Oreochromis niloticus: one gene and its partner. The protein of the gene in region 1 binds, or shares a complex with, the protein of each later gene. Links are inferred from orthologs where the notes say so. Each region holds a gene or a part of one and is shown in the gene's direction. Other genes may lie near its edges.

Region 1 (16,665 bases):
GCAGCTCGAACTCTGTAATCATATCTTATGAAACTTGGCTGCTCTGTAATAATACAGTGGAGGAAATAATTATTTGATCCTATGCTCATGTTTTGTGGCAGTTTTGTTTTAATAGAGAGTTTTGATGTAAATAGACAGAATATCAACCAAATATCCAGAAAAAACACCAAAGTGAGGAATTGACTTGTATTTCATGGAGTGAAGTACGTGTTTGATTCCCAAGCCAAACATAACTTAGTACTTGGTGGGAAAATCCTTGTTGGCAATCACAGCAGGAGGATATATTTGTAGTTGGTCACCAGCCTTGTGGACATTATAGTCCACTGCTCTTTACACAAACTCTCTAAATCCTTTAGGTTTCTTGACTGACGCTTGGCAGCTCGAAGCTTCGGCTCCCTCCACAGAATTTCTATAGGACTGAAGTCTGGAGACTAACTAAACCACTCCATGACCTTCTCCATGTGCTTCTTCTTTAGGCACTCCTATGTTGCCTCGATGATATGTTGTGGGTCATTGTCATACTGGAAGACCCATCTATGAGCCATCGTCAGTGTTCTGGCTGAGGGAAGGAAGTTCTCGTCCAAGGTTTTATGGTACATGACCCTGTCCATCGGCCACTCGAACAAGCCAAAGCATAATGTTTCCACCTCCATGCTTGACAGGCGTGGTGTTCTTTGGGTCATATTCCGCATTTCCTTTTTTGGAAAGGTCAAGTTGATGCAAGAGAGCTGTTGATGCAAGTTGATGCAAGTTGATGCAAAAGAGCTCGACTGTGGTTGCATCTGACTGCAGCACTTTCTCCCGAGGCTTCTCTGAATCATTTAGATGTTCAGTGGCGAACAGGCCTGTACATGTGCCTTCTTAAGCAGGGGGACCTTGTGGGCGCTCCAAGATTTCAGCCAATTACAGTGTAATGTAATACCAGTGGTGTTCTTGGTGACTGTGCTCCCACTTGTGGTCTGATCCACCAAGTACCTCATGATCATCCTCACCTGGTGAGGCAAGATCTTGCATGGAGCTCCAGACCGACATTTAGTTGATGTTCTGTCTCTACTATTCCCACCTGTTGTATACTAGGTGCAGTGAAGCTCAGGATTCAACCACAAGGAACTGGGAGCTAACAAAACAAAGTCTGCTATTAAGTTCTAGAAGAACCATATCTGACATCCTTTGTTTTCAGTTCACTTTACCAAGTAAAGGAGTTAGAAATGTGTTACTTTACATTCATTATTTGAGTAAATGTTATTAAATTAACTCATAATATATAGTTCTTTTTACAGTACTCCTCTGAGAAGGACAGCACTGCTTTTCCCCAACTGTAATTGATCGCTGTTGTTCTGAGAAATTACCTGGGTCCCAACACACAGCTCATTCGGCCCCCTTTTAGACCACTGAATGTGCCATGTGGCCCATTTGTAGCTTAGAGATTAAAGTAACTCAATCTTCTAGATCTAACCTCGCACAATAATAGCAGTACTACCTGTGCCCTCCTAAAACGAATGTAAACGATATGTTGGTGGACGTGTAAACCAGACGTGCCGAGAACATGAAACACAATGTACTCGGAACATTAACGCGTTTGTTTAATTGAAGCAGATGTTTCTGCCTGGTCTTTAAAACCCCGGTGACCCCGTGTTAAATTTCAGCTGCACTAATCAATATTGGACATTAACAATGTATCAAGTGACTGCTTGTCATGAAAGCTCTTTAAATGTCCCTTTTTTTCAGCATTGCTGGGCAATAACATTCAACATTTTACATAACCTGTTATGAAACAACTTATTGCTATCATGTTTGTTTTTCTATAAGTCCATAGAGTCTCACTTGTATGTTTAGAGCCTGTCGAATTGCTTAAATCTTTTATAGTAGCATAAAATTTATCACTGCAGTGAAACCAGTTTGTGTGCACTTTGAATCTTCAAGCTGTTAAAGCGAACAACACTGATCAGATCACATGACCACTGGATTCCAGGCAAGGTGAGAGATGACGCGTAAGAGTTATTACAGGAAATCCAGCCTTGGTGCTGTCTTTCACTGCGACCTGGTAATAACACAGAGCGCAGTCTATTTCCTGCATAGCTGTGTCTTTGTGTTACAGAGTATTTGAGGAGTGGTTCTTCAGAGACACATAATGAGTAGCTCAACACGCTGTCATTTCTGTGTTGGTACTTTCCTGTCAGCAGCGGCTAACCACCTAGCTCATCTTCAGTCTTAGTGCCTAGTTATCTTTGTGTCGTCTGTATCCAGACTCCCACTGTCTGTCATTATAGATCCTCAAATTAAACAAAAACATTTCTGGAGTAAACCTCCGGGTGGTTTTCATCTTAAGTAGGTTGTCTGATGAGGATTTGTGTTGTCTGCTTCCACCCCAGTATGGCTAAGGTTAATGGACTTTTAAAGGACTCGGCAACATCTCTTCTAGGTCAGGATAATAACGAGCCTCATCGTGAACTACTTTGTTGTGAGAAAGCCTCAGTGAAACCTGTCGGCACCATCTTCTGTGGACTATAATTGTGATTTTTATCTTTTGAATGAAAGGACTCTCTGCTCTTAAGATGTTCATTTCCACGCTTTAAGCATTACCGTTTTGTGGAAGAGATTCAGGCATTTATAAAGCCCAGTCTACCTGCATGACCCCATACAACCACCTGCCAGTCAGCCCTGTACTGTGTAGTATAGTTGGCTGCTGAAAGTTTGCACAAGCCTTCATTAAAAACCAATTTTTGTATTAAATAAAAAGTAATTTTGTAGATGACAGCGACTGTGACTTTCCATTTACCAGATTCTTGTGCATCCTTCAAATCTAACCGGATGCATATCATGCATATGTGCATGGTCATTATACTCCGCTACAGTGGAAAATAATAATAATCCAACCTTTTGGGTCTTTGGCCTTTACAGTAAATTTACAGTAATAATTTCTACACAAGGTCTGACATTTTTTGATATTTTTAAAACAGTTTTTATTTCCTAAAATGGAAGTGTATGTGCCATCAGTACTGCTCTGATTGTTACACTGCTGAACATGTGGATTTTATTACTCGCAGAATAAGTTTCTATACAGTTTACAAACTGCTCACAAACTGTTACAGTTTTGGGAAGAGTCGCTACAGTATCCTTTTGACAGCTGTGGAAGAGCTGTGCAGTGCGTGCGTGTGTGTGTGTGTGTGTGTGTGTGTGTGTGTGTGTGAGAGAGAGAGAGAGACTGGCCTTCACAGAGACCTGAGATCATTTACAAGCTTCTCCTGTGTAGTTCTTACTTGATCAGTCTCACCCCATAAGACAAGATCTTCCATGGTCATTTTATATTTCTCCCATTTCTGAATGATCGCACCTTCTCACCAAGCTTCTCGCTGATGATCTTGTATCTCATTCCAGTCTTGTGCAGGTCTACAGTATTGTCCCTGATATCCTTTGGCAGCCCTTGAGTCTTCCACATGGTGGTGTTGACGCTGGAATGTAAGAACCTGGTTTGGGACAAGCGTGCTTTATACGATATTTATGAGATAAAGAGTATCTGTAACTGATTAACTGTTAGATTACAATCAATCAATCAATCAATCAATCAATTAGTGTGTCACATGGGCACACAGCCAATCTGTGGGAGCCATAATTCTGGCTGGTTTGTAGGGGACTTTACTCAATGACATATCAATCAATTTATAACTTTTATGTAATGTGTTTTTGTTGTTGTTTTTTTTAATCTTTGGTTGATATTCTGTCTCCATAAATATGAAATTACCACAAGACCTAGAGACTGTTCATTTACAGTATATGTAAATGTATATGTGGCAGTTTAATCCTGTCCAATTTCTCTGAAAGTGAGTGTGTTGATGAGACCATGACCTTATCTTGTGACAGAACTGGAAAAAATGCCTACAGCCAGCTCATGCAGGCTTGAGGAAAGCTGAGACCAGTCACGTTCAAGCTTTCATAGCAAAAATCTAATCTTCACAATTTTAGAGGTGTATTTCTTTAGGTGTGACACCAGCAGAGGCTACTTTTTATTTAGGTAAACTTTTCTGTGCTCTCCAGAATTTAAATCATTATTTACAAAAATGCTTATCTATAAAAGCTAGTTTCTACAATCTAAGAAGCATAGACTGTACACAAAAGATGGCACAACAAGTATGGTGCAGTAAGGACTCTGAAGGGTTCTTCACACTTGTGTGAATGTAAGAGAGAATCAATCACATGGTAACATTAGCTAAGCACTGTGCTAGTAATTAATATATTCATACCATCTATTTATAGTTATAAAAAACTGCAGTTAAAATAAAGATTATCTGATGTTCAGAGTCTTCAGCTTAAGGAAGAGTGTGGTTGGTTGCACCCAGTCACACAACATTTGGTTTTCTTTCCTCATAGCTGAGAAAACACATTAAGTAGCTGCAAGCCAGGTATTATATCAGTGTACTGACCAGACAAGTAGGCAAACAGGTCTACAAAGACATGCAAATAGTACATTACAGACATTCTAGCAGCGTTTGTGTGTGAAAGAACAACTCTGTCGGGTGCGTTTCTGTGCCTTTTGTAACTCTGTAGAGCCTTCACATGGATAAACAACTTGTATAATAGACCAAAGGAAAGGAAAAATGATAGGGGCCCTTTATAGTCACTTGGTGTGTGTTTTCTTTTTAGTACAGTCCTCTGAGAGAACGCCAGAAAGTCCGTTTTTATTGAAGTGCACAAGTTCACTTACATCCATTAACATTCTTCCCTCAATAGATGAACAAACGTTTTGTTACAATACCATGAGTGATCACCTGAAACAAACACTGGCAGTAGCTGCGCGATGAGCAGCTCTGTATGCGTTCAAGCTATCGGCTCACTCATGTCAGCTAAGCTTTAAAGGTCAAAGTTCTGAACACACCCAGACTACTCACCAGCCGCCTGAGGCCTTGTGGTTTCATCAGGGACAGACAATTCTGCATGACGTCAGGACCAAAACTGTAGGCAGACACACAGTGTAGCAGATCTTTGACTGACACATAGATAACTGACATATACTATATATGCAAATCATTTGATAAGGAGTCCTTTATTGTTTTATTTGTTTTTACTATTTTCAAAGATGAGAAAGAAACTGAAAATATAGTCTTATAACTATTTCTAAACCATACCAAAACAGTGTAAAGGTGCTTCAGTTACCAATAAGGCATATGATCAAATGTTATCTTACTGATTAACTGAAAAAATTTCCAGGATCCGATTAATTTGAGTCTAATAATTTGTTGATGAGCAGAATGGAGTAAAAAAAACCACACAAATGGTAGCACTTTATATGACTTCCCCCGGTGTACTTCCCCCTGAAATTAAATGGAATTTCAGTGTATTTTATTTGAATTTATAACTTAATTATATTTATTTACACATACTTAGAGGTAGGTACCCTAGAGTAAGGGGAATACATCAGGTTTTACAGGAAAAAAGAAATAGTTATACTGTCAGTAAGTTTAAATGCTTAGTAATAAATCGTGATTTGTTAGGCAAGAAAATAATCCACTCCAAAATTGGACCTGTGCCCCAAAAAGTACAGCATATTTACACAAGATATGGAAATATTGTTTGTTTTTCTGGAAAATTATCAGGAAATTACACATTAATTAAAATTACCTATGTCGTATTTAACATTGCATAGAGTCTAATTTTTGTCTCCTTTCCAGCACAATACACAGAAATCAGGCACTATTTGCGATTACTTTCCCACTACTTAAAACTACTTACAATGTAATTATTTCTTCTTTCCTGTAACATACAACTTCTTGTGCCCTACTTAATATTACTTTTACAGTACTTGAAATTGCTTATGTAATAAATTGTATCTTCCAGTTAAATACCCAAAGTCGTTAAATATTTAGAATTACTCACTTTCACACTACTTAAAATTACATACAGGTTTTTTTTTCATGTAAAAACCCAAATTGTTACCTCCCTATTGTACTGTAACTACCTGTAAGTATGTGTAGGTAAATACATTGTAACTTTAAATAAAATAGAGTGAAATTCAATTTAACCCTTTCATGCATGAATTATGACAACCTCAATCAGGAATTTTTTCTTAATTATTCACTTCATTTTCTTTAAACATGCATTATTCAAAGAGTTATTTACAAGTCCACTTAGGTGGACAACATACATTTTGACTTATGAATTTGGTATGGAGTGACACATCAGTGTCCATTGTAGTGGTTTATGTGCAAGTATACCATCAACACTGACACAAATACAAGAAAACAGGCTTTGAATAGCTGTCCACAGAAGTGACCACTATGCGTGAAAGGTTTAATTACAGGAGAAATACACCCTTAGTTGCAAGCGGTATTATAAAGTGTTACCAACACAGTATTGAGTTATTTATTCTTTCATTTATTATTGTATTAAACATATTCTTATTACTCTTTTTTTCAAGTAGTGTGACTGTTTGTTTGTCTCTATACACCAGGTTCAACAGTGCTTCCAAATGTTTTGTATGCTTGTGCTTACATAACAATAAGGGTCGTCTTATCTTATCTTATCTTATCTTAACTTATATTATCACATCTTATCTTATCTTATCCTGTCTTATCCTATCTTATCTTATCTTATCTTATCTTATCTTATAAAGTTAAATTCAAACCCAAGTGATTCTGAGACATTATCTTGTGTTCTTGAAAATTCATAGGGTTGTTTTTTAAACATTTTCTTTTTTACAAACACTGATAACCAACATTATAGCTGCAGCCTGTCAGTTTTACTGCCCAATTGCCCCAAAACAAGTTCCTTTTTCATCTATGTGATCTTTGTGATCATCACATAAAATGGGAAAGTAACCCCCCCATCCTTATCAGCTTACAGTCTTCCCTTTGTTCGCTTAAATGAAACATCATTTAAAAAAAACTGTATTAAAGTGAAATCTGAAAATGACATCAAAGTTTCTGTCATCACAAGTTAGAATTAAGAAAAAAGTCTTAAATGAGAAGCTAAGGCAGGCAGGAGGAGGGAATCCCCTTGCTGATCGGCTAGTTTCCTATCAGTGTTCCTGATGCTGACTCACTGACGCTGGTGTACAGCCTGGCTCCCTTAGGGGCTCCACGCTACCCACAATCCACAACCACGCAGCTGACACAGCTTAAGCTTCACACTGCTGATCGGTGGTTTCATCTCACCTCCCGGTCTTATCATCGTGGACGACACAGAGGAAAGGAAATGGTTCTTACTCGTGAAACCGAATCTTAAGTCACCTATTCCCTGACTCATTCACTGATGTGTTTGTGTGTAAGGGTGAGCAATGTGGAAGGGGATTCATTTTTGACACGAGGAAAATAAATCTCACATCAGTTTAGAACTTTTTTTATATAATGATGTTGAATGGGGATGTAATTAGTTTTGTATACTGCACTTTTCACTTTGTTCAGTTTGCAATTTTCTCCCTTTTTTGTCATGGATTTTGCTGCGATTCCTTAATAAATTGCTTTATTTTTTGTCTTTAAGTCTGTTCATTTTTATGTGTTCTCATTCAGGATACAGTTGTCTTTTCAGTCCTCTCACAGCGTCAGGGGGATTCTGCAGTTTATTTCTAAAGAATCATTAACAATAATTCATCTTTGAGAGTGAGCGAAAAGCTTTCTTGTGAATACTTAGCATGAAATTCTTGTGAGGTTTCTTCCACAGAAATCTATGAGGTAGGTTCAGCAGCTGGCGAAAATATCTACCAGACACTACATAGTCCGAAGAACTGTGTCGTGCCAGTGTGTTTCAGTGGATAGTACTTTGTCTATATAAAACAGGCTTGTCTTCAGGGGGTTAGTGGTTTGATTGCTGTCTTTTAAATGGTGGCTGTGTGTGTCTCCCAGGCAGTGGGTTATGTGGAGGCGTGTGCGTGACAGCCAACTTCGTATCTCATATTTCGAACTTTGAATGCTTACAGAACAGCTTTTTGGAAGTGTATGTAACTGTGTGGGAGGGGATTCATTTTTGAAATCCCACATCAGTTTAGAAGTTTTATTTATAATGATGTTGAATGGGGATGTCATTAGTTTTGTATACTGTACTTTTCACTTTGTTCGGTTTGCAATTTTTTCACTTTTTTTTGTTATTGATTTTGCTGCAAATCCTTAATAAATTCAGACTCAATCAGAATCAGAACACTTTAATAGTCCCTAAGGAAATTATGTAATTGTTTCATTTTGTTCTTTAAGTCTGTTCATTATTATGTGTTCTCATTCAGAATACACTGGTCTTTTCAATCCTGTCACAGCATCAGGGGGATTCTGCAGGTTCTTTCTAAAGAATCATTAACAATAATTCATCTTTGAGAGAGAGAGAAAACCTTTCTTGGGGATACTTAGCATGCAGATGTGGTGATTATCAATGTAGGTGTGATCTAAAGAGGATTTTTAAGTTTGTGTTCGGGTGAAATTCTAGTGAGGTTTCTTCCATAGAAATCTATGAGGTAGGTTCAGCAGCTGGGGAAAGTATCGGCCAGCATTGCTTCCTGTATAACTTCCTGTATTGCTGTTAACAGTTAGTAGAAGGCCAAGTATTTTGGCCACTTATCTATTAAACAACACACTTTTCTTCAAGACATACAGAAGATTAACTGTACTCAGCCACTGCAACTGACCACTGGTTACTGTTTGACAGATTTAGACATATATTTGTTCTGGTGTAAGATGATCAGACTAAGCCCATGAAATTTGTGAATTGATTGGTCACTAGTAATTGCAGAAGAGGATTTGAACTAGACTGATGGAAAAATCATTGATCAGTATGCTTTTTTTGTTTTATTTTGTTTTTTTGTTTTTTAAATCTTTCTGAATATGTTGTTAGTCAGAGGCAGCTTTTAGTTCATGAGGATCACCAATCTAAATCCAAGGCAGGACCCTTCTGTGACCCTCCCTGTGCTTGTGCGGGTTTATAGGAGCTCCAGTTTACTCCACTATCATGAACCATGGCAAGCTAATGCTAACTGATTCAGCTCAGGACAGTCTTGCAGAAGAGATTCCTAATATTAAGAGTCTGGTTTCCTGGTGAAAGATTATTAAGAAAAAAAAATCAAATACCCTCTAATTCAGAACAAGATTAAGAGTTTTCGTTTAAGCATTTTTACAGAGATTTAAGGACTTTGAGACTGCTTTTGTTTGACCTCTGAGTTGTATTCTATTACTCAGATACAGGGGTATTTCCAGGATTATTAATTTATGAATTTATTGATTTAAGTGGAGAAGAAGAATAAGGCTGGGGGTGTCCACAGGAACTTGGAATATCTAATGAGGAATAAATAGATTGTGAAAAACACTAGGCACAATTTTCTGGTTTCAGTGGAGCCCTATGTCATCATAGAGGTGGTGTTACATGAAAAGTGACACTAAGAAGTCCTTAAAGATAGTTTTGTTTAAATGACTATTTAGTGAAATTGGTGAAATTAGTATTTAGGCCTTTTATTTAAGTAATAGAACAAGTGTTTTAAGCTCAAACGATACTTACAGCTGAAGGAGATTTTAATTAGTTACAAACTGATAGGTAGTTTTATAATATTAACAATAAAAAATAATAAGTCACTGGAGGTTTAAAGATTATGGACTACAAAGTGCAATAATTGCACATAAAATAGAGTGGAGTGGAAGTACAAAGGTGTAAAAATAAAGTATAAGTACATTTACCCTGTACTTCAGCGACTACATATCCATATTCTAGCTCATTCAATGGCTTTGAGAATAGCTGCATTCTTAGTACTTTTATCAAATGTCAGTGGTGATAATTACTTTTTTTTTTTTAAACAAACGGTTAAGTACTAGCAATGCAATATTATACGCAGGACAAATATTTTGGGTCAGATTTACTGTGAAAACACACATACACATAAATGGTAATAATTAACAGCAGCTATCTCTGATACATAGATGGTAGTTTTAGCTTCCCTGTTTTAAATAAATATGTATCCATATATATGAATCTTTTTTTCTGAAGTAACACAAATTATGAGTGGAATTTATTATGACAGTCGAAATATCAGCAAATATCAGCAAAGTGAAATGAAATGAAATTATGAAATCTTTGCCTACCAACAGTTAAATGCTACTCTTAAACTAGACGCTCCTGGTTACTTGGCAACGCATAAACCTCATTGGCCAATCAGATACTTAGCTAGGCGCATTGGTACAATCTGACGCGGCCATTCTAAGATTATGTGATCTGCAGACGATGAAAACTAAGTTTTTTGGTAAATATTTAAAGTTAGTATTTTATTTTAACTATCCTCGCTGTATTGCTCACATTGTACTTTCTAAGTGTAAATGGCAAACTACATAGTCCGAGGAACTGTGTCGTGCCACGGCGGTGCATGTGTTTCGGAAAGGTAGTACTTCGGCTATATAACAGGCGTGTCTTCAGTGGCTTTGGTGGTTCAAACGCTGTCTTTTAAACGGCGACTGTGTCTCTCTCTCGGGCAGTGGATTATGTGGAGGCGTGTGCGTGACAGCCAACTTTACATCTCACATTTCGGGCTTTGAATGCTTACAGAACAGCCTTTTGGAAGTGTATGTATCTTTTAACACCCTCTTCAGTTTCTTACGCAAATCTGTGTTTTATTTTCGTAGTTGGGGAAAATAGTGCGTTTGATAAGTATGAATTGCTAAATTTAAAGTTTGCCGTGCTGTAGCCACGGTTCAAAAACGTGTCGCCGGTTGCGCTATTTTAACGTGAGACGTAGATACCTAAAAGTGTGTTGCTTGAGGATATTCCAACTTTGCATAACCGCTGAATTTACAAAGGGTTTTATGACCATATGGCTCGACACTAAGTTAACCGTAATACTATCTTGCTAGTGTAGTGATAAAGCATTCTTATCGTCAGTTTCAGAGCAGAGTTTGGTACGCGTTTTAAATGCTGTTAGCACTGAGCCTTATTTGCTGTACATAGAGTAAAAGTTGGTTTTGACCTCCGCACGGCTAAATTGACAAGTCAGCTGGAATAAATAACTGTTGTTTAAAATTTTGCCCAACGTGTGTCGCGGCGACTTTTGTCGCTCCACGTAGTGGTGAATAACTAGTAGTAGTACCGGTTGTTTATTCGGGAGACCCCCGGCTTTACTGGACTTGAAGCTAGCTCGGTGTTTGTCTCTCAGCGGTTCTGGAATAAAAGGCAGGCTTGCGCAGTGAGCTGTTCTAGAAACCTCACGGGCTCTGTCCTTTTACTGTGTGTCGCGTGCAGGTTGTCTCATGCTCGCGCTCTCCTGTGCTCGTGCTGAACGCTCCTGTTGCTGCTCCTGTTTCACGGCAAGAAAATGGTTCTTAATTACATTTAACTGCGTCCCCCCCCCCCCTTTTTAGACACACATTACTACAGCTAGACCAAATTTGGTAAAATTAAGAAACAGTAATTTTGTTTCTTTTAAAGAATATTGGCTAATATTGTCACATGGTAGACTTTATTTGGTATGTGTCACACTTGAGGGCTGTCACTAACATTTTTGTTTTTTCTGTCCTGCCTCCTTAGTCAATCTAAACTTTTTGAGAAGATGGATAACAAGGAGGTATCAAACAGTTGTCCCTTCAGCGACTTGACTTGGGAGCAGGTGAGCCGGCTCAATGAAGTTCTGACTGAGGTCGTGCCCATTCATGGACGGGGGCACTTTCCTACTTTGGAGGTGCAGCTGAATGATATTGTGGCTCGGGTGCGCTCCCGCCTTGAGCTCAGCGGCATTAAGGTGAAGGACGTACGGCTTAATGGCTCCACAGCCAGCCATGTGCTGGTGCAAGATATTGGCTGGAGCTACAAGGACCTGGACGTTATCTTCAGGGTGGACTTGCCACACGAGGCTGAGTTCAAGCTCATCAAGGATGTTGTGCTTGGTACCCTGCTGGACTTCCTGCCTGAGGGTGTGAACAAAGAGAAAATTACACCAATGACCCTCAAAGAGGCCTACGTGCAGAAGCTTGTCAAGGTGAACACAGAGCAGGACCGCTGGAGCCTCATCTCCCTCTCCAACAATAATGGCCGTAATGTGGAGCTGAAGTTTGTGGACTCAATACGTCGGCAGTTTGAGTTCAGTGTCGACTCTTTTCAGATTGTGCTGGACTCCATGCTCTCCTTCTATGAGGTGGAGCAGGCGCCCATGTCAGAGGCCTTTCACCCCACTGTTAGTGGGGAAAGCATGTATGGAGACTTCAACACTGCGCTGAGCCACCTGCGAAACAAGCTCATTGCCACCAAGCGGCCTGAGGAGATCCGAGGCGGTGGCCTGCTGAAGTACTGCAACCTGTTGGTGAGGGACTTCCAGCCCGCCAGCGAGGAGGAATTCAAGGGCCTGGAGCGATATATGTGCTCACGCTTCTTCATTGACTTTCCTGACATAGGAGAGCAGCAGCGTAAGGTGGAATCCTACCTCCAGAGCCACTTTGTTGGCGAGGAGAAGAGCAAGTACGACTACCTCACGATTCTCCGGCGAGTGGTTAACGAGAGCACGGTGTGCCTCATGGGTCACGAGCGGCGGCAGACCCTCCACCTCATCTCGCTGATGGCCCTCCAAGTCCTGGCGGAGCAGAACGCGATCCCCGACGCGTCCTGCGTCACCTGCTATTACCAGCCAGCGCCTTACGTCCGAGACCACAACTTCAGCAACTACTATGTGGCCAACCAGAACATTCCAACATGGCTGCCGTGTAACTGACGAGACAAACAACTTGGGATGAGCAAGATGGCGTCGCTACTGCTGCTGCATTTGAGAAGAGAAGGAATGAATTTAAAAAAAAAAAAAAAAAAAAAAAAAACATTAAAAAAAAATGTTGGGCAATAAATAATTTGTTCCTCTCAAGGCACAATTATATTTAAGTGGACAAGCGTTTTGCTTTTGTTTTCTCATTCCTTTACGACAGAGGTGTCTAGGTCATTGAATCGAAAGTGATATTTTTAAGTGTTTCGAATTTTTTTTTTTTTTTTTTTTTTTTTCTCTCCTCATGTTTGGTTGTTTCACTGTTTATCAATCCCATTCTTAATGGAGTTGCATTTTGTGCCTTAACCTCCAAGTTTACCCCATCAGTAATTTAAGTATGGGCTGTGATTTGGAGAAGGGAAAGAGGAGCTAATGCCGTAGCCTTACATTTGGTTTTCATCTTGATTTAAAAAAAAGAAAAAGGTTAGGAAAAAAAAGTTGGAAAAAATGCATAAAATATTGAAAAATAGTATTATTGTATTATTGGGGAAAGAGTAATAATAGCTGACTGCCAAAAAAGGGGAAAAAAAAAAAAAAAGCTCATCACCGGTGTTAAAGTTTACTGTGGAGGGAGAAAAGGTGGTACACTAATATCCTGTCAGAAATCAGTGGGAAGCGAGGAGTCGATTTGTTTTAATTCATTTTGACATGTAAATATTTCTGAGACATTTGTGCCAGCGGTGCCTGTGATTTGTAAATGATGCAAACGAGGAAAAAAAAAATGTATATTTTTTTTTTTTTATCTTTCCACTGTGAATTTCAACATAGGATTGGATTGGCTCCCCTCCCTCCCCCCCTTTACCTTGTTTCCTCAGCCTTGTACCTTTCAGTCGAGACTGGCTTCGAGTGGAACTCTCAGACAGTGTAGGCCTCAAATACGTGACCTCACTGCTTTCCCTGTTGTTTTTTTTTTTTTTTTTTTAAGTCTGAAAGCCTTGCCATTGACCTCCACATGCCATGGCCCCTGGGTTATTGTGGGAGGCAAATGGACAGGACTGAGCCTGGTAGGGGGTTTAGAGAATGTGCTTGGCTGGGAGTCCCAGAGTGACAGGCTAGTTGTCTCTTCCCTTAAAAGGAGCAGCACATGGAGGGGCCCGAAGGGTTGTCCCTCACAGCTACTGCATGCTCGACAGCAGCCCTGAAATGGGAGCCACCTCTGACGCAGCTCGGTGCCTCTCCAATTACTCTTCGTCTATAATTATCATCTTTCTCTTTTTTTGTGCTGGGGTTAGCTACCATTGAAGCAGGGAGCTGGAGCTTGGTTGTGTGATCTGCAGCAGCCCTGCCACCTTACATATGTGGCAGCTGAATCACTTCCTGTCCTCCTCATCTGTCGCCTGATGGGACACGGAGCGTTTTGAACCCCTTTTGTGGTCATGGGGAGGGCAGACCACATGCCTGCTAGTGGGATACCATTCCCCCTTTCAGACCTGGAATTCCATCAATGTGGAAGCTACGCCCAAAACTGCAGCAGAGATGAAGTCGCCGCTCCAAACCAATGAATTTCTATTTGTAGCCAAGCCTAATATTAGCTGTTAATTTTTGAACACCTGAACACACTAATGACCTAAGCTGGGAGTATTTCTGGCCACCACTGCTCCTGTTGGTTTTCCTGACATCACAGCAGCCAAGTTTGAGAGCGTTTCCTCATGAACTTGTTCTCCCAAATGGCCTTAGTTTCTCAGAAGTTCGTCTCCCTGTATTGCTGCTGCTGATCTCACTGTGGCTTGTGTTGGTGCGAGATAACCGCAGACCTCTTATCTGGTTGGCTCACAATGTCAGGGTTGATGGAACAATTGAGGGAGATCAGTTTGGTCTGGCTGCAGGTCACATTTGAGGGGCAGGTTGTGCTGTGTCAGCTTAGCTGCAGCGTGTTTTTGTATTTCCCTTTTTTTTTTTTTTTTTTTTTTTTTAATTTCTTTTAAGAACATGCTCTTGGACCAAAAGTCTGCTTTACAACCAGCAACTGAAGCACTCAAGTGCCTGTCACTCTGTGGAGAGTTGATCTTTTTAAAAGGTTTTTTTTAATGGTGGTCATAAAGGGGGAAAGGTTAGCAAAAGTTTTCTTTCAGCCTGTGAAGCTTTGATATAAAACTGTCTGTATTAGATACAAGTTTATAAGGTGAATGCACATATTTTTGGTTGAGGAGCAAACTACTTTTGGTTTGACTTTAAAATTTGAGGGGTTTTTTCCTATTAAGATTATTTTTCTTTAACATTAGTTTGTCCCAAACTTTATTTTTCCTTAAAATCTGCAGTCATTCCCATGGCAGCCATCTGAGTCCTCTTCATTTTACACTTTTTTTTTTTTTTTTCCCCCCTGTATATTTACACCTTTCAACTTAATCTGCCCAGCATTTGCCCAGCACTGTATTCTCTGAAACAGCTGGGCTAATTCAGTTTGACTGTTCTGTTCCCCATCCGAAGCAAGAAATACTGCACTGACGAGCTGTACGGTGGCACGGTAGCTGGAGGTCAGAGTAAAGACCCCCTCCCACACTGGTGGAACACTTTAAAGAGGCCTTGGTCAGTTGCTGTGAGAGCCGTGCTGGTCCTCAGGGACTGCATGTTTTTGAAGACCGTTTTGTCCCCTTTTTTTTTTTTTTTTTTTTTTTTTAAATTTAAGAGAGAGCAAATTGGTTTAATCTGCCCTTGATTCTGAGATGCCCCCTCCTACCTCTCTTCATTTTTCGTCTTTCCTTTGTTGTAATCCTGACTCTCCCTCTGCTCACCCTTACTACAGGCTCTTCCTAGAAGAGGTGGAGGTAGGCTGCAGACTTCAGCTCGTTACACCCCGACAGCAGCCCAGCTTTTTATCTTTACACCCATTCGCTCCAAAATGTTATTGTTACTCAGAGGCTCTCCTAGGTTTGTGCCAAAAGCTGTATTTTAGTGGTGTTCTCCTAACCCTGAGAGGTCTTCTTTGAGAGCTCGGGGACAGAACATCGACTCTGAGGCTAAAATCCCTTTTCCTAGTGGATTATAGTCTTTGAAGTAATGATGAGGCTTGGAGCCACGTGCAGAACCAGCTGCTGCTCACAGTTGGAGTTTGAAGCCTGCTGTGTGGTGAAAACCAGCCTCTTCTTAGGCCTTTTGTTGATGTCGCTCACTAACAGCCGTTAAGAGCGAGGTCAAAGAGAGTGCGAGCAAATTTGCATTTTCCTAGAAAGTTGATAGCAGTCTGGAATGCTAGTCCAGTGCCCTTTTTTTTTTTTTTTTTTTTTTTTTTTCTTTCTCTCCCTCCCCAATCCTCCTTTGCCCCACCCTGCTTTCACATGTTTACGGTTATTGTGGCTCTCTGATGACTATGCCCGAGCTTTTGCGGGGCTTGTGTCTAACCCTTTCCTTTACTGGGCTGATGTATGTCTGAACTCTGTGAACGGAAAGGGAATATTGTAGTTTGCCTTTATTTTCTGGCCACTTTTTTCTGCTGTAAACTTGCCAGTGTTTCTCTCTCGCACCACCTTGAGTTGGCTCACATGTTTGGGCTGCTGTTAATTGATACAGCAAATGTCTTTTTCCCCCCTTATGACACCTGTAGCTGTATCCTTTGCTAGAGGGGAGATGCAGATGAGATATTTAGTGGTTATGCTTGTATAAAGTGCAAGTCTTATGCCATAGGAATGTGATAGAAGCTGTCCTACAGTTTTTGTATGACGATTTATTTTGTTTGCAGCAGAAACAGATGTGTGTTTACGTTAACATGTGGAGGAGCGTGTGTTCGTTTGCGCGTGTGTGAAGGGATGCCTGTGGTAACACAAGTTGAATGGGGGAAAAAAAAAGTGGGGAAAATATGAACTATGTCGCACTATATATATATTTTTGGAAATAGTTGATGCAGAAGAGCTTTTTTGTCAGCTTCGTGATTGTGACTCTGATGGTTACAACCATTAAACTATTTCATTTTTCAGCACTTTTACCTCACTTGAGTTTTTTTCCTTGGAATGGAAATGTACATGTACATCAGGAAA
Region 2 (16,784 bases), on another chromosome or scaffold:
GATTTTGCTGCATGTGAAATTCCAGGATGGAGGAGGTGTACGGTGCCTCATAATGGGATAAACAAACAGATCAAATGGCTGCACTGCACTGCATCATCTTATGTACTGAATTCAATATTCCTGTGTCAATATTTTATGCTAAGATCTGCAGAATAAAAGCTGATTTTATTCAAACAAAAATACCTTGGCTATATGTAAGTTATTTCTCTTGACTGTTAATATTACAATATAGTATTTTAATAAATAATATTTTCTAATTTTCTTTAAGTTTGCATTTTTAATATGAAGCTCGTGTTTATAATAATCACTAAAATGTTGCCTAATCCTGTTAAATCACAGAAATCTCTTTAATCTTACAAGAAAAAAACAAAATATTAGCTCAAAAAACAAGCAGAGGTATGAGCAGACAGAGAAGCTCCTTCTATAGCTGTGTGAGTAGACTCATCAACCCATGATAACCCTCTATGTAGCTCCACTTACCGCGACATTTTGTTCCTTTGCTTGTAATTGATTTCTACTTTAATTTATTAATATAGCCTATAGAGCGCCTGCAGCACAATGCTAGTTATCTGGGGCCCACCAGGAGCCTAATCTCTTAAGATGAGCTGAATTAATAAGCGTCTTCAAGTAACATATTGATTACAGAATCAATGCCTGTTTCTTTGCATCATGCTCAAATCATCATTATAAAATATAACAGCATTATGGCACCTCGTTCAATCGTTTTACTTCAGCGCGCATTTCAAAAGGCTCTCTTTTGATTGATAGTGTGTAAGTCTTTCATAATGAGAGGGCATTCGAAAATATGATGTCTCGATAGTTGTTTTCCACCACCTCCAGGTTGTTATTGATAGGGGTTATCTGATTCCCTCAGCCCAAAACCCTATTGTAGTGGAAGAGTTGCTCTTAACTTTTAAGGGTTTTTAATAAAGAGAAAGTTTCCCGGCTTCCAGGTCACTTCTTTCGTTCTTTCTTTCATGCCTACAGGCAGATGTGGATTTCTACAAGTATGATTTACAGGAATTGAGAGTTTCGTACAAATATAGAATTATCAAATCATCCAGTCGTGCCAATAGGGACTAGTACTGTATATCTACACCTCGATCATCAATCTAAGTTGAGAGAATAATGTTGTATCCCTTCCAGGCACATACTGTGCCAAAAAGAAACAATCCGAGGATACAAAATTTATGTCTTTTTTTTCAATACAATTACGTCAAAAGAAAGATGCTTTCAATCTATAAGTTTACCCAGAAACCAGCTCTTCCACTATGAGCAAAATTCTATTTTTATACACTCATAATACCACAAATCTTTTTAGAGGTTTTCTTAAGATTACATGTGACATAAGAAGTCACTTCACAGTACGCACAAGCCTGTTTTAATGTTTCTTTGCACATTTGCCATTTGAAAGCATTTTTCTACACAGTGCACTTCAGCACATCAAATATCATTTTGAGCAGCTCAGCAAAACATTTATTAGCTTCATCTACATTATACATACTGTATCTGTGAGCGAAACAACATGTCCGTTTAATGAATAAGTATCCAATAAACAAATTATCACTCATTCTCTGAATATCTTAATAATAGGAAGTCCTTTAGGATTGTTTTTGTGCCAGAATGCATTCAGCACTGCTCCGAAAAAGAGAAAAGGAATGAAAGAGCAGCTGTTACATGTATAAATAACACACCTCGGTGAAAATTAGCCAACAAAATTCAAAATTGTTGTTGTCTTCTAGAAATTAGACAGTCATCATTGCAGCTTGACAATATGTGAACATAAAATTAAATCAGTAGATCACATATGCAAACTTTAGCAAGCTCTATCGCATCTCTGCTGCAACACTCTCAGCGGGTTAGTTTGAGTGCAGTGGGATGAACATTGCAGATATCAAACCAATGCTGATCCACCTCCTTATGTGGCAGCAGGCCATTTCGTGGCAGAAAGGGCCGTCGCCAGCGATCACGACTGCCCACTACTTGCCAGAAGCGTATGCCCTTGAGAAGAAAGATGGCATTGTGAGTGTAGGAGAAGTAGGCAGCGTCAATGTTGCCATCTGGATGGTCTGTGTTCACCACAGGAGGGAAAACATCTCTGATGTTTTTTGGGAACCCTCTTGCCAAGTTGTTGGCTTCCACGCTGAATGCATACACCTGTTCAAAGAGATAATTGCTCTTTTTTTTTGTTATGCAGAAATCAATTCAATTATACAATGCAAACAATTCACAGAGGAACTTTAGTGCATTTGTTTGCTTGAAGACATTCCCTCATAATCCTAAGAAACAATTAATTAGCTTGGGTTTTCTCCAGGACTTTGCTTTTTATATCTGCATGTTCTACTAATCGGCATTGCTAGATTGCAAATCACAGATGGAAACAGTTTGATTAATGACCGTTAAGTCTAAGCCACGTTTTAAGTTTAAATATGTATAATGGTCGGTGTGTTTTAATATCGAACCACATCATTCCAGCTTGTCATTTAAGCACTTCATGAATATTTCCTAATTTACTTTCTTACTGAACCTCATGTCTTTGCTCTTATATCAGTGTAATAATATCTGACAGCTGGGTAATATTGCACTTACAAGATTGTTTTTAAAGAAGTAGATGTGGGAGTCCCTCCTGTCATAAAAGGCTGTGTCAATAGGACTTGGCACCCCTGGGAATCCTTCAGAGATTAACTTCGGATACTGGTGACCTTCAGAGTCTTGTCCAAACACCTGGTCGTTCTCACTATCATACCTCCAGAACTGAGTACCTGTAGATAAATAAGTTAATTACATTTTCACAAAGTATCAATTTGTTCACTAACTCCTTTCAAACAGTATAACTCTCCACTTAGTGTACCTCTGAAGAAATATACAGCATCTCTTTTCCTGGACCAGACATGGACATGTGCATCCACTCCATCCATGGGGATCCCATGCCAGCCAGTTTGCAGCGGAACTGGATCACCATAACGTGTTCTATTATTTCTGTTCTCATACAGCCAGTACCACCCATCTCTCATGAAATAGGTGTTAAAGCGGATCACCACCTCCCCATAGGGTGTCTTCTCCTTTCTGATCCAATCAAACACCGTGTTGAACCGGCCTTTACAGCCTCCTGGTGTCAAATGCAAGCACAACAGGGGAAAAAAATTTGCATTAGTCAATTAGGGCAAAAATACAGCAAAATGCATTTCTCCAAGAGTGTATAAGTAACCACTAGATGGTGCTGTAACCATGTACCATAGAGTTGCTGTATAGCTTTTCTGTCCATCCAGTCCATTTCAAAGGTGGACTCCTGGGGTAGATAGCTGGGCTGCATTATGGATCCGGGTCTATATATGTGGGGTAGACCCAAAACATGGCCAATCTCATGAACTGCTACCTAAACAGGTTTAATATATTTAAGGCGTTGTTAGAGCAATGCGTTGTTAATCACTGGAATTATATAAACCTGGCAGTTCCTTTGATCGTGCAGGAATATAATTACTTTGAGAAGGCTGATTCCACTGCCAACATTGGGAGTTGTGAAGTGCTCATCATCATCAAAGTGTATATCACCCAGGAACCAAGCATGGGCAAATTCTTGACCAGTGCCATCGAACTTCTGATTACATCCCAGATGCCTTCCTATGAAAGAATTTCACAACGATGCAGTATGTTATTTGGCACAAAAAGGAGGTACAGTGGAAACATTAATGATCCTCTGCAGACATACATATAAATGACCCTCCCGAGGAAAATATTTCCAATCTAAGAAGACTGGTCGTGGTTTACATTTACCTTTAACATTGCTGGGAGTTTTTGTGTTTAATGAACCTCATTAACAGATGCTTTATTAGTCTTAAACATATATGTGGCCAAGGAGATAACATTCTTTAACTTTTTTATCCTGAAATGAGAAATTAACCTTCATAGACTAGTGATGTGAAGGGTCAAATCTAACCATTCCACATTTTATTCATAATAATAGTGGTTCACACATCCACCTAACAAGGGAAAGATCCCCAGTGTGATCTCAGGAGAAGACACAAATCCTTTTGGGGTTGTGTCAGGAAGGGCATCTGGCATAAAGCTCTGCCAAACCAAACATGCGGAGCTACCTGCTGTGGCCACTGTGAATAAAGGAGCAGCCAAAAGTAGCTTTCATGCTGCAGTGAAGCTCATAAATATTGACTAAAACCCACCTGTACCAAATCCCAGCCTGATGTCAACATCCTCCAATGGGGCATGTGTATCCTCCACAAATTCCAGTGGCGACACCTCACTCCACATCCTGAAAGCCAGTCTGAAGATGTACCTCTGGTCTTCAATAGTCAGCTGGCTGCTGTAGCCTTCTCCTATCAGCCTCCAGTTTAACACCTTCTTGAAAAAAAGCCATGTGGCCAGTTGGAGTCAAATCTCTCTTCCGCCTGCTTTTGGATATGAGACTTGCGAGATGTTCCTTCTTGCGTCTCACTGCTTCACTCTGATGCGCGTTCTCACTGAAATTCCCCATTTGGCTGCCCAGTCTGCTGTCGTGCGAGCTGTTTGGAGAAGTGATCTTTAAAAAGCTCTGTTGTATAATTCATGCTGGTGTCATTGGAAATGGCTGTGAGCACACCGTCTGCATCATTAAAATTTAATATGTCGTCTTCAGAGAAATTTGCAGTACCTAAAGAAGTGCCACTGATTATGTCACTTGCTGTGTTGTTCCTGTTGGTCTCAGTAAAACTGTCAGTGGTACTGTTTTCAAAATCAAAGTCACCACTGCTCTCAGGTTCTGTAGTGATGACAGGGCTGGTCAGAACAGTCTCTTTATCAGGGACTCCACACCTTGGTTTGTTCATTGCTAACTTGGTGGCCTCATCAAACACCCCTGTAACAGGCAGACCTGAAACCCTCTGAAACTCTTTAAGTGCTGAAATAAAGGCTTGGTTCTCATTTTGACGGTTATAGCCCTGCTGATCACCAGCTCGATGAGCAGCTCTCGAGTAAGACGCTGAGGTTCCCTCTTGGATTGTGGCTTGAAGATCGTCGAGGAAGTCACCGCTGAAAGAGGCATCTGAATCCTCAAACTGAACCTCCTCCCAGTTAACTGGCTTGATGAATCCATATCTAGAGAGAAATAACTAAAACAAGACACGGGTTACATTAGACAAATCCCCTGTCTGGTTAAATGGATGCTGAAGTTTGAGAAACACAGGTAGTCAAAAAAGAAGAAAAAACAATATACCTCAGCTGTGTACTTGTCTGTTATAGCCTGAGCTCGGTGAGAATTAAGGGTCTGCGTATCAGAATGATCCCGATTATGGAAAAGTTTCTCTGCATCAGTTGTGCTAATGTTGGTCAAAAAGAGCATAAATATCAGCTGGATTAAATTCAGCATCGTGGCCTTTAGCGGTTTACTCCTGGGTCTATATGCAAGATGAGATGATGACAAGTGAGGAGCAACGCTGCTTTATAAGCAAATCCTTAGCTTCTCCACACCCCTCCAGAGGTGTGACTCTACAGTAACCTGCTTTCTTCACCTCTGCGTGAAAAGTAAACTCATCTTTTACAATCTACGACTGCTCAATTTGACTCTTACTCTGTGGTTATGTTATACATGCTTCAGTGGTTTTAAATGGACTGCAGCTGATCCGTGGAAAGATGTTAAAACCTTCACATTCATGTGGACAGTAAAAGACAGGGATGACCCCTGCAAGCACTGTGTTGGACAGGAAATAAACACACAGAAACACACAAGCAATAACCACAGACAAAATCTTCAATATTATCAAAATGATTGGCTTTTATTTTCTCAGTCATTTTCTTACATCATATAAAGCAAATTATAATTTTATCTTAGACTTTCCTGGCTCTGGTGCTGCAAAAAATAACTTTTTCTCAGTGCAAAAATAGCAGAATCATATGTCCAACAACAATAAAGATGGGCAGTAAAGCAGTAAAACACACAAATAACAGTACGTATTTACATATATAATAACAACAAACACCAAAGATGAGGCAGGTGGATTTTAAAAGCTGGTCACTGCAGAGTTTTAGCTATCGCTATCGCCAGGTGTTCAGCTGTTGGCTTTTCTGCAGTGCAGCTGACACAAAGGCCTTCTGCTGCTATTGCATGTTGTGTAGTAGGCCCTATGGCTGCAAACTGGAAACAAAGACACTTACGTGAGTAAAGCTCTGTTAAGCACTTCAGATTCATGCATTATTTAAATCTATTTGTGTATGACTGTGAGGAAGATGTACCTTTATTTGAGTCAGCTGTTCAGCCGAGAGCCTCCGCACCACTTCAAGGCAAAACTTCACTCCTGATGGACTGAAGAAAGCTATGCTTGCTGGGATGCCCTATAAGCATACAAACAAATGAACAGCTGCTATACTGAAACAAATAAATAAATAAAAGCAATAAGAATGACACTTTACCTGCTCTGTGAAATAGTTCTTTAGATTTTTCTCCAGATCGGGATGTTCTGCTGTTTGATAGACAGTTAGTGTCTCTAGGGGCACTCCTGGAAACAAAGAAACAGATCCCAACAGTGATAAAGATAGTGCAATTATTATTTTATAATTAGAATAATCCCAATGGGAATTTTATCACCTTGAGTTTTAATTGTCAGGCACAACAGGGGGAATGCTTACCATTTTCCCTTAAAGCCGTGGGCAAGACTTCCCTTTTGATTGAGCCACAGGGGAAAAAAAGTGGTGGGATATTGGTGGCCTCTCCTATGACGGGAATTATACGTGAGATCATATGAGTAATAAGAGCAATCATAAAATTACTATTAAAATTAAACTGTGAGGAATGTGAGACTCCACAGTTACGCCGTACGTTCAATAATAAGTCGTGATAGGACCTCCGCTGTCCCGGTGTCCTCTCCCAAAGGGTTCAGACCTAGATTCTGTACTGTATGGGATAAAAATCATGAAAAGGAAAAAAAAATGATAAGCTATACAGTAATGTGGTAAATTCTTGAGCCACCCCACATTTCTTTATATTTTGCTAGAAAATGGGAAATAGGTGCAGCAAGGTTTTTAAAAGCAGAAAACACTAAACAAAAGACATTACGTTCTAGTCTTTTCTAAGTTGTCTGCTATGTGTAGACACAACAATTGTTCATTCCTTGACTTGGGTGCATTTTTTTTTTTTATACTTGATGCATTCATAGGCCAGTGTTAAGTGGCTTAACAACCAAACCGCATTCCTCTGAAAATGGCACAGTACAAAGCCTGGATTGAAAATAAGTGGAAAAACCAGCAAATGTCAGAAGACAAATTTGAAAGACCTTCTGAAAGCCTGGAGGAGTAACTCAAGAGCACTTTGAAAAATTACAAGGACGTCTGGGTCCTTGGAAGTAAAATACAAAGAAATGAGGGTGGCTCAATACTTTTGCACAGTCTGCTAAATACTGACATAAGAGCGTGGCAGAGAAAACACATTCATTCACTTCAACTAATTCAATAACTAAATTAGAAGCTCACTGAGAGACTCAAAATAAAAACCCACTGTGAAATGTTACTGAAAAGAAGAAGCTAAAGCACACATGTAGAAAGTGTTGCACCTGCTTGTTTTGTAAAGACACTGAACAATCACTAACGGCAAACTGTCACTTGTGTATAACAAATGGCTGAAGGTAGACAAAGCATTTCACACATCACTATGAGCACCAGGTGCCCGACACACTCTGGTGCAATTAGCACGAGTTTACAAGGAGCTCAAGACACAAAGGAGGATTTTGGGAGAAATTACCTTTGTCCATAGATGTGACTCACCTAATGAAGCAGTGGCCTTCCCAACCACATAGATGGACTTGGTGTTCCACTTGTCTTTCGCTGCTTTGTCCCATTCTCAATAGCACAACATACACTGGGCATTACAGAAATGTACTACAGAAACTTGACTTGTTTTTTTAAGGTTTTTACCAAAAAAAGTCATTTCTATCAATGATATACAGCAGCTTCGAGAAAAGTAATGTTTATCACCTTCCCTTCTTTCATCCGCTTCCAAACACATCCTTACAGCCTCCACTGCTCTTGGACTGGTAAATATGAGCCCACCATATTTCTCTGGTTGGAAAAGCTGGAATAAGCAAAATACATGAATCCACTGAATATGCAAACTGTTAAAATGAACGGATTAATGAATGGACAATGGAACAACAATTTACCTTATCTGACAAAGTGTTTAATGATACAAACTTAAAAGACAGCACCGGAAGTAGGGTTCCTTTATGTCCGCGTGATTCCAGCTCCTTCGAAGTGAAAATAATAACGGTTATACTGACAAATTTTAAGAAACTGGTTTAAGTTAGTTGATTTAACTGTAAAGGGCGTGTACCTTAATATAGGGATCAGATCCAGACTCTCCATCTTTTGGTTCTTTAAGCAGCAATACACGCATCTTGAAACACTGGATTATTAAAATAACAAAGATGGTTAATTCCGAACAAACCAAGGTAAAATAGGTTTACTAAGGTCTGCAATAATGTCAAAGTCAGAGGCTTAAGCTACAAAAACACTGAGGACATTGGGTGTGAATGCATTTTAAGCAACGTTACACCCTAAAACGGTCACATGCTGATAAGACTGTTGTTGAGTCACGATCATAAGACTGTGCATGAACAGCGAATAAATTAAGCGAATGGGCCATTTTAGTTAAAAGTGTATGTGAAGTGTCTTCTTCCGTAAGAGTGTTCTTGTTTACCCTAGCAAGACACGGTGCATGACAGACTATCTACGGTAGCAATTAACAGAACCTGTCTGTGATAATGTGTGATAGAAGCGAATATTTTATCCGCGTATAGCTACAGTGACACGAAGTACAAACGGTGAAAAAGACGAAATATTAGGCAAAATTTATGTACCTGGAGTGTTCATTCAGACTTTCATCATCCACGGTCGAGGAGGGGAGACAGAACACTGTCTAATTGACTAACCTTGTAAAATAATCGTATTACAAGTAGTATTACAAGAATGTGTTTATTTAATTTAAAAATATAGTTTCAATAATTTAAATTAATATCTACTACATGTGACAAAGGGTTCGGGGGCATGTGAATTTATTTTCGTCCCCGTTTTATAGAATGGTTTATTCCATTTCACCAACGGGCAACAAGCCGACATTGAAGCTCTGAATGTGGATTTAATAAGCGGCAAGCCGTGTATATGTGGAGCCATAATGGCGGCTTCAGGGTTTCAGTTTCGTAGCTGACAGTTGCTAGTCTTTGCCCCGCCCACTTAGTAGACACGTGTGTTTTAAGTTTGCAGCATGGCTTCATTGGCTAAGAAAAGGGCAGTAGGTTTTGGTGAAAAACCCGAGGAAAGTGACAACAGCTCCGATGAGAATCCAGAGGAGGAAGACGATTCCGGAGAAGAGGACAGTGAGGCGTCAGATGAGGAAATTAATGAGGTAAAAGAACAAACACGTCTTAGAAGGGAGGCATGGCCTTGCTAACTAGTTAGCTAAGTCAGCAGTAGGGCTAATGTGAACAGAAAGGCTCATGAAAATATTTTTTTGGTTAATCATGTGAGAAAATAAATAACTAATATACTAGAATATGTTATTTCGAAGATACTGTACTTGAATACGCTGTAATAAGTTAACCCTGTGAAACTAATATCGGAAAGTTTCGCACAACTAATCAGAGTATGGGTTACAATAAAACTTGCAATTACGACTTCTACGCTTTCAGGAGGTCGTTGTAGACTTTGAAGCTCACACCATCTCAGACAATGACTTCAACGGCATAAAGAAGCTGCTGCAGCAGGTTTGGGTTTAGTATTGTTATTTCACGTTTCAAATACTGTGTGTAAGCAGGTGTCACTGACGTCATTTCTGTTATGTTTGGATACAGCTTTTCTTAAAAGCTCATGTGGATACATCAGAGATGACACACATCATCATCCAACAAAATCATGTTGGAAGTGTCATCAAGGTGAGAGATGTCATGATAATTTGGGCTTTCAGTGATTTCTTTGAACTTCATCTTAATGCAAACAATGCATACTGCACACATCTTAATGACTTAAAAAACAGCATTTGGGAGTACATGTTTGAATTTCTTTTGGCGTTTTATTAATCCAAATGGGATCAAAAGCAAACACGAGGAACCAAAAGGCTCAAATATATACATACATTTATTTAAATATTTTGATTAGTGGTGCTGAAGGTTATACAGTGTCTTGACTTGATGAGGCCAAGGCCTATTTATCTTATTTGTAATCATTATTTACTACAACTGGTAGTTTATCTTTAACAGCAATACTCAGCAGTTATTCGAATGTGGGACAACTTTGCCAAGATCTGGACAAAGACCTAAACTGTCACCCTCAGATGAGTTGTTTTGAGAGTTGGTTTGGATGTTCAGGAACAACTCAGAAACCACCAAAGTTCAAGCTGTGAACTGGAAACTGCTGGAACACCAGCAATAATTCACTGTCCACAGAGAATCCTTTGAACCTAAGAACACTATACTTTCAAACATGGTGGTGGTAGCATGATGCTCTGGAGCTGCTTTGCTGCTAACAGCATTGCTACATTGTACAAAGTGGATGGCAACATTAGGCTGGAATAAATTCAAATGTGTGCACCCAAGTGTTTTCTTTTTTAAAAGATGTATGTTGTGCAATCATTCCACCAGGAAAAGGAACGGACAAAAAAAATCATTTAAAACCCAAGATTGACATTCATGCTCATTCACATTCATTTCTGAGCAGCTGTTTATTTACTCGTCTCTCCACTATGCTCCAGCAAGCTGAGGCGCCCGAAGACAGCGACGATGACGACGACCCAGATGAAGTGTTTGGCTTCATCACCATGCTAAACCTCACAGAGAGAAAGGTCAGATGACTAGCAAACTAAAACTAATTAGTCTTGAATGGGCTGGAATATGTCAGTGTTTTGTTTTTTTTAATATAAATTTTCATACTCACGTCTTGTACTGTTCATAGGGTGTACAATGTGTGGAGGAGGTGAAGGAGCTGATTGTGGATCAGTGTGAGAAGAATGCTTCTCATATTGTGACAGAACAGCTGGAGAAGATCTTTAATGATAACAGCAAGCCTGTGGGGCTGCTGCTAAGTGAGCGCTTCATCAATGTGCCTCCACAGATTGCCCTTCCACTGCACAAACAGCTCCAGTAAGTTCTGCTTTACCTTCTTATTCCATCTTTAGTGTTTTGTTATTGTTGTGAGAGCAGGTAGAACATGGTCAGGATGGTGTTTGAAAACACTGAAATAAGACGGAACAAGTGCAATACTTTGCAAATCTTATAAATCAGCATTTTATTCACAGTAGAATGTATGAAAGATATCAAATATTTAAACTGAGACCTTTTAGTATTGCATGAAATATATTAGCAGCAACACATCTTAAAAATGTTGGGACAGGGCCATGTTTACAATAGTGTAGGATCCCCTCTTAACAAGTGTTGAACATCTGGGAACTGATATTTACCAGTTAACCTAATTGGCTACAAATTATTCCAGCTTTTTCTTTTTAATACCACTTACTTTTCCACCTTTCTGTTGCTCTTATCCCAACTTTTTAATACATGCTGCTGTCATCAAATTCAAAATGAGCTAATATTTTATGAAACATTTGATGTTTTGTGTTCTATTAATAAAAATTGTTGGTGAGATTTGGAAACTATTCCATTCTGTTTTATTTATTTTTTTAATAGAAACTAGAAAAACATCCATGTGTGTGGTTAAAAGATTTTCATGTTACGGTCCTTTAGGGAAGAAATCGCTGACGCTCAGAGGACAAATAAGCCCAGTGGGAGGTGCCACTACTGCCTGATTATCAGCAAGACCTGTAGAGAAGAGACCAAGAGCATCCCAGCCACAGGAGGAGCTCCCAAAGAGGAATACATGTTTGTTAATGCAGAGGAGGAATTCTTTTATGAGGTAAAGTCGGAAAGAAATCTGCACAAAGTTCAAGGTTTTAACTAAATATTTATTATACACGGGGCTACTTACTTAACAGTATCTGGGTAAAAATACAGCAGTTCGTTAGCTCATGTCAAACTTCAGATAAATATTCATTTAAACAGCCATCTGATAAGCTATTCAATATATTTATACTCTGATTTCAAGCCTGGTCCGTGTTTTCCTTACAGCAAGCCATCTTGAAGTTCCACTACACAGTCCAAGAAGAGGCAGACTCCTGTTTAAGTGGGAGGTGGTCATTTACGGACGTGCCCATGAAGCCTTTCAGGACTGTGATGCTGATACCCACAGACAGAATGCCAGCCATCATGGAGAAACTCAAAGAATATCTATCAGTGTGACCTTCACAATAAACCAAGACACCTATGGACACAGTGACAGCTTTCAGGCTTCTGAAAATCATTCAATATATTCTTCAATTTTTGTACAGTTTGTTTTAGGAATGCACGTATTCATATTTAGAACATGTAGGGCGATGGTTTACCCAGTTTTAGAAATTTTAAAGACAGTTTGTACAAATTGTAAAGACATAGGGAATAATCACATACTTGAATACTGGAAGAAACTTCATGCAACTGCATATCAGAGGTGTTAGGAACACTTCAAAATCCTTGGTTTTTAACATTCAGCTGCACATTTCATCCCCAGACTTTCCTTGATGTCACATGTTTTAATAAATGTCCTGAATTGTCAACATAAACAGGGAACATTCTTAGATAAATGGGCAAAGCAGTTATTCTGAGCAAGTTGTTTCATACGTATTTTAGCTTTAAAATCAGATCCTTGGATATACAAAAGAATGTGAAGGTATACTGGCATTTATGACAACTATGCATAATAGGGAAGTACATAGGAGACAAATTACTTTTCGCTTGAACATTTTTTTTTTTGCTTGTTAAGTATATCAAATGACAGTGTGCATCTGCATCATGTACGGATAAAGTCCACACCTAAGCAGTGTTGCAGAAACCCCCTCACTCATATTGTTTTTAGATCACAACTATTAAACTGCAAACTTTTCTATATTTACAGCACAGACATCTTTGCCTTCTCAGCACTGTAAGAACATTGGGTAATACACATGAGTAATTTAATGTAACAAATTAAGCTTTACTGTATTAATTATACAAATGTCTTACAAGCATTGATGCATTTGCAGTCTAAATTTGTGATTTTCAGTTTACTGAATCATACATCTGTCATACGTCTGTGTCACTGCTGCACAGCCACCGTTTACGTCACCACTTATTGTTGCAGCTTGCTGTTTCTTCTCTTTGTGGTTTTTGGATCCCTCTGGGCCCAACATGTCTTGCAGTATATCTTTGCTTTCGCTAGGGGGCAGATTGTAGAAGAAGTACAGTGGTGCAATTTCAATGAACCTAAAAGAGAAATTTGAAAACCAATATTAAATATAAAACATTTGTGTCAACACAAGATATTGTGTAGATAAAGAGATTAAAAATATTCAAATTAAAATGAGATCAAATGGCTCATGCTTACTGCAGTAATAAACATGTTTGTTCTACCACTGCACTACAAGAGAATTAATCCATGAGACCTCAGTTCTGATCTGTACACAACTGTTCTGATGGGGATTTGGGGAAAAAAAGGAATCGACTTACACTTGCGGGGAAATTTCCGAGACTATTCTCATGCAGTTTTCTGAAAGGATGTACTCATTGAAAACAACCCACTCAGGCAGTCCCAGCTTGTGCGACTGAGCCCCGTAGCAGGAGTGTGGGTGCACCTGGGCCATGTGCTTGTGTGCAAGAATGAAGTAGTTGCCTGATCCGTCCACATCTCGAGCAATCTGGGAAAAGAACAGACCTCGTAAACTTGAACACAATTGAATTGCTGGAGGCAAATTCATTAATACTGACATTTTGTTTTTCTGTACCTGCATGAAGAATCCAGCCAGCAGAGCTCTTTTGATGTTGTGAGTGTTAGTCTTGGTTCCAAAGGAGGGTTCAGAAATTGGGAGCTCAATTCTGTTCAGTGTGTCAGTCAACTCTGATCTAATGGAATCAGCTGTCCTCAAGGCAGAATGATTTAGAAAATAGTCCTGGCACCACTTTTCAGTAGTCAAGTCTGGGAGAAAACATCATGCACAGTGAGAGAAGCGCTGTGGTCAGCAGTATTTACGTGAAGTTTCTATCACAGTAAAAACAGTTTAATTCCTAATGCCTTTTAAACAGATCAGATGGAGTGGGGAAAATGACAATGTGGAGGTAATTAATTCAAGAGTACCGTAATATGATTTACTAAAATTTCAAGCAGTTTGCCTCTCAGAATCTAAAGAGTTGAAATGTTCATTTAGCCAAGTGTTCTTTTAACTGTTTTTTGCGTCAATTTTTAGAATAGAATAGTTTATTCGTATCCATCTGGTTATAATTCTTCGTGAAACTGAAATGTAACATCTGTCCCATAGTATAACACAGGCTTTGAATCTAGTTTTAATTTACCACAGTAGAGAACAAAGATCAAGTCACCAGTCATTTCATTAGGTACACCTGTTTCACCACCTGCTCATTGATGCAAATACCTTAATTTATCAAATCACATGGCAACAGCACGATGCATTTAGGCACTTAGGCATTGTCAAGTTGACCTAGCTGAAGTTTGAAGTGAGCATCAGAATGGGGAAGAAAGTGACTTTGAATGTAGTATGGTTGTTATACCTGAATATCTCAGAAAATGCTGATTTTGCCAAAACTGGGATTTTTCCACACAACAATTTCTAGGGTTTACAAAGAATGGCCAAAAAAAAGTAATAACAAGTGAGGGGCACACTGTTTCAACCTGATACAAAAGCAACAGTAACTCATATACGCACTTGATTCAACCAAGGTATGCAGAAGATCATCTCTGAATGCACAAATGTTGAACTTTGAAGCAGCAGAAGACCACACCAGATTGCTACAATTTGCACAGGCTCAACAAAATTGGACAATGGAAGACTAGGAATGTTGCCTGGTCTGTTAAGCTTTGGTTTCTGCTCTGACATTTGGATGCTGTAAACACCACGAATGCATTAATTCATCCTCCCCTGCATCAACAGTCCAGGCTGCTGGTCTAAGGGATATTTTCTTAGCACACTCTCCGCCCCTTATAACCAATCAAGCATCATTTAACTGCCACGGCCTACTTGAGTATTATTGCTCACCGTGTCTATCCCTTTATGGCCACACTGTACTGGCTCATTATCCTGGCTGCTTCCAGCAGGATAATGGTCAAATAAATAAAGCTGAAATCATCTTAAACCTGCTCCCTGAACATGACAGAGGAATGTTTCCAGCACCTTGTTGAATCAATGCTACAAAGAAATAAAGCACCAATGTATAAATAATGAAGTGGCTGATGAGAGTATATCTTATCTCTTGAAGAGAATAGGTTGGTTCTGTTCAATGACTGTCTTACATTGTTCCCTCTGGTTTTGTTTGTAGGCATTGTAGATGTTTATGAGGGTGAAGTGATCTCCTTCAGGGTGCTGGAACTTTCTGTGACACTGGACTGCTTCGTGGCTCATGGCAGCAGGCGGCTCCACAAAGCAGCTTGGTGCTAAAACACAACAACAAATAAGGTCGACTTCACTGAGAGAAACCACTCTCACCAAAGAGCATCAGAAACTGCAGATGAGCCAATACTACGCTGTCCACCTGGTGATTCTACAAACCAGTCAAAGGATCCTCACTTGGAACTAATCTTAAATTCTGGAGTGGAAAAATGTAAAACGTACGTACCTGACAACATGGCTGTGATTGTCAGCATCTCACTCACACAGTCAAACTCGCAGGATGCTAGCAGCGCTTTGGCCATCTGAGGTTCCAGAGGGATTTCAGACATTATGATGCCAATTTCAGACAAGTTGCCATCATCGTCTAAAGCTGCAAGGTAATCGAGCTCCTCCAGTGCCTGCATGAGACCCTCTGGATCTGCAACAACAAATGGAATATTTTAAAACTTATGCACATTTCACACATTTCATTGCTATATCTATTAAGGGGGATAAAATATCAACAGCAATTTGTGTCATCTGAATAATCAAAGATACAGTCATCACAAATCAAATGCCTTCAGCTTTTATTTCTTTCCTATAGAGAAAATATAATTTAGGCATAAAGCAAGTGCCTTTTGTCCCACATTTTCAAAAAAATATTACAGCACTTTTGGCATGGACTTCCTCTTCATTGTGCTCGTCTGGCACTGCAATACATGAGACATGTTGTGTAATCGTTAATGAGCTGGCCTCTTCTGTTCATGTTAGGGTGGGTCAGAGCACAGACAATGGTTAGTAGCTGGGCTGTCAGCTCAGCTAAATCATGGATGACTGGGCTCAAACAGCTACACAGAGCCCTTCCTGAGTCAAAAACCTCCCACATGCGAATCTTTGGCTTAGGTTGTGAGAGAGATGCTGTTAGTGGGAACCAGTAAAAACTAAAATAAAGAACAAAACTTCTTGTTGTCTTGCTTGTGTTCCAGTGGCAACTTGTCTAGTTTCCTCTGGGAAGATATTTTACCTGGTCTGTCGATGAAACTGCACTGTCCAAGGCCTGCTATCTCCATCCTTTTGAGGAAAAGAACTGTCGGTGTAATGTTGGACTCCAAGATCTGTGGGGAGTTCTCTGCAGAAGTTAGGCTTGCTTCTGGATACAGGCAGAAGCATTTACCTAGAGGAAAAATTCAGTAAAACTGTTGCACATAAATTTTGTGTTTGTTTATTTTGCTTTTTTTAAAATAATGCTGGGAAGTTTTTTCTTTGGCTTTCTTAAGTCCAAATATTAATTAATATTGTAATATGTCCAAATCTGCAAGTATGAAAATTATCCAAATGAATGAAAGGATGAAAAATTAACCAGTCTGCT

What was found.
Region 2: the proteins of tent5c (region 1) and bccip are in contact, whole or in part, in a cryo-EM structure (PDB 8EQB), measured with the Homo sapiens proteins. The link is inferred for Oreochromis niloticus from reciprocal best matches to the Homo sapiens genes TENT5C and BCCIP. Residues at the interface, in NP_060179.2 of Homo sapiens: Asp90, Asp92, Glu102, Gln106, Arg109, Lys135, Glu136, Val139, Gln140, Lys141, Leu142, Val143, Lys144, Val145, Cys146, Thr147, Asn164; in NP_510868.1 of Homo sapiens: Val57, Asn58, Ile59, Glu60, Phe61, Glu62, Ala63, Tyr64, Ser65, Arg136, Gln146, Cys153, Lys155, Ala204, Gly205.

Annotation. Positions count from the first base shown.
Region 1 is NC_031987.2:28,025,700-28,042,364, reverse strand, and holds the start of tent5c (terminal nucleotidyltransferase 5C), read left to right. Parts: upstream 1-10,217; 5' UTR 10,218-10,277; coding exon 10,278-10,339; intron 10,340-10,433; coding exon 10,434-10,520; intron 10,521-11,478; coding exon 11,479-12,652; 3' UTR 12,653-16,665. UniProt on the Homo sapiens protein: Catalyzes the transfer of one adenosine molecule from an ATP to an mRNA poly(A) tail bearing a 3'-OH terminal group and enhances mRNA stability and gene expression.
Region 2 is NC_031973.2:11,320,459-11,337,242, reverse strand, and holds bccip (protein BCCIP homolog), read left to right. Parts: upstream 1-9,110; 5' UTR 9,111-9,241; coding exon 9,242-9,382; intron 9,383-9,665; coding exon 9,666-9,740; intron 9,741-9,827; coding exon 9,828-9,908; intron 9,909-10,723; coding exon 10,724-10,813; intron 10,814-10,923; coding exon 10,924-11,111; intron 11,112-11,711; coding exon 11,712-11,880; intron 11,881-12,092; coding exon 12,093-12,263; 3' UTR 12,264-12,930; downstream 12,931-16,784. Other genes in the region: uros (uroporphyrinogen-III synthase), read right to left, coding at 6,002-6,124, 6,223-6,321, 6,400-6,485, 6,616-6,699, 6,806-6,880, 7,747-7,821, 7,957-8,053, 8,142-8,225 and 1 more; dhx32a (DEAD/H (Asp-Glu-Ala-Asp/His) box polypeptide 32a), read right to left, coding at 13,103-13,301, 13,545-13,732, 13,820-14,010, 15,340-15,480, 15,663-15,854, 16,440-16,589. UniProt on the Homo sapiens protein: During interphase, required for microtubule organizing and anchoring activities. During mitosis, required for the organization and stabilization of the spindle pole.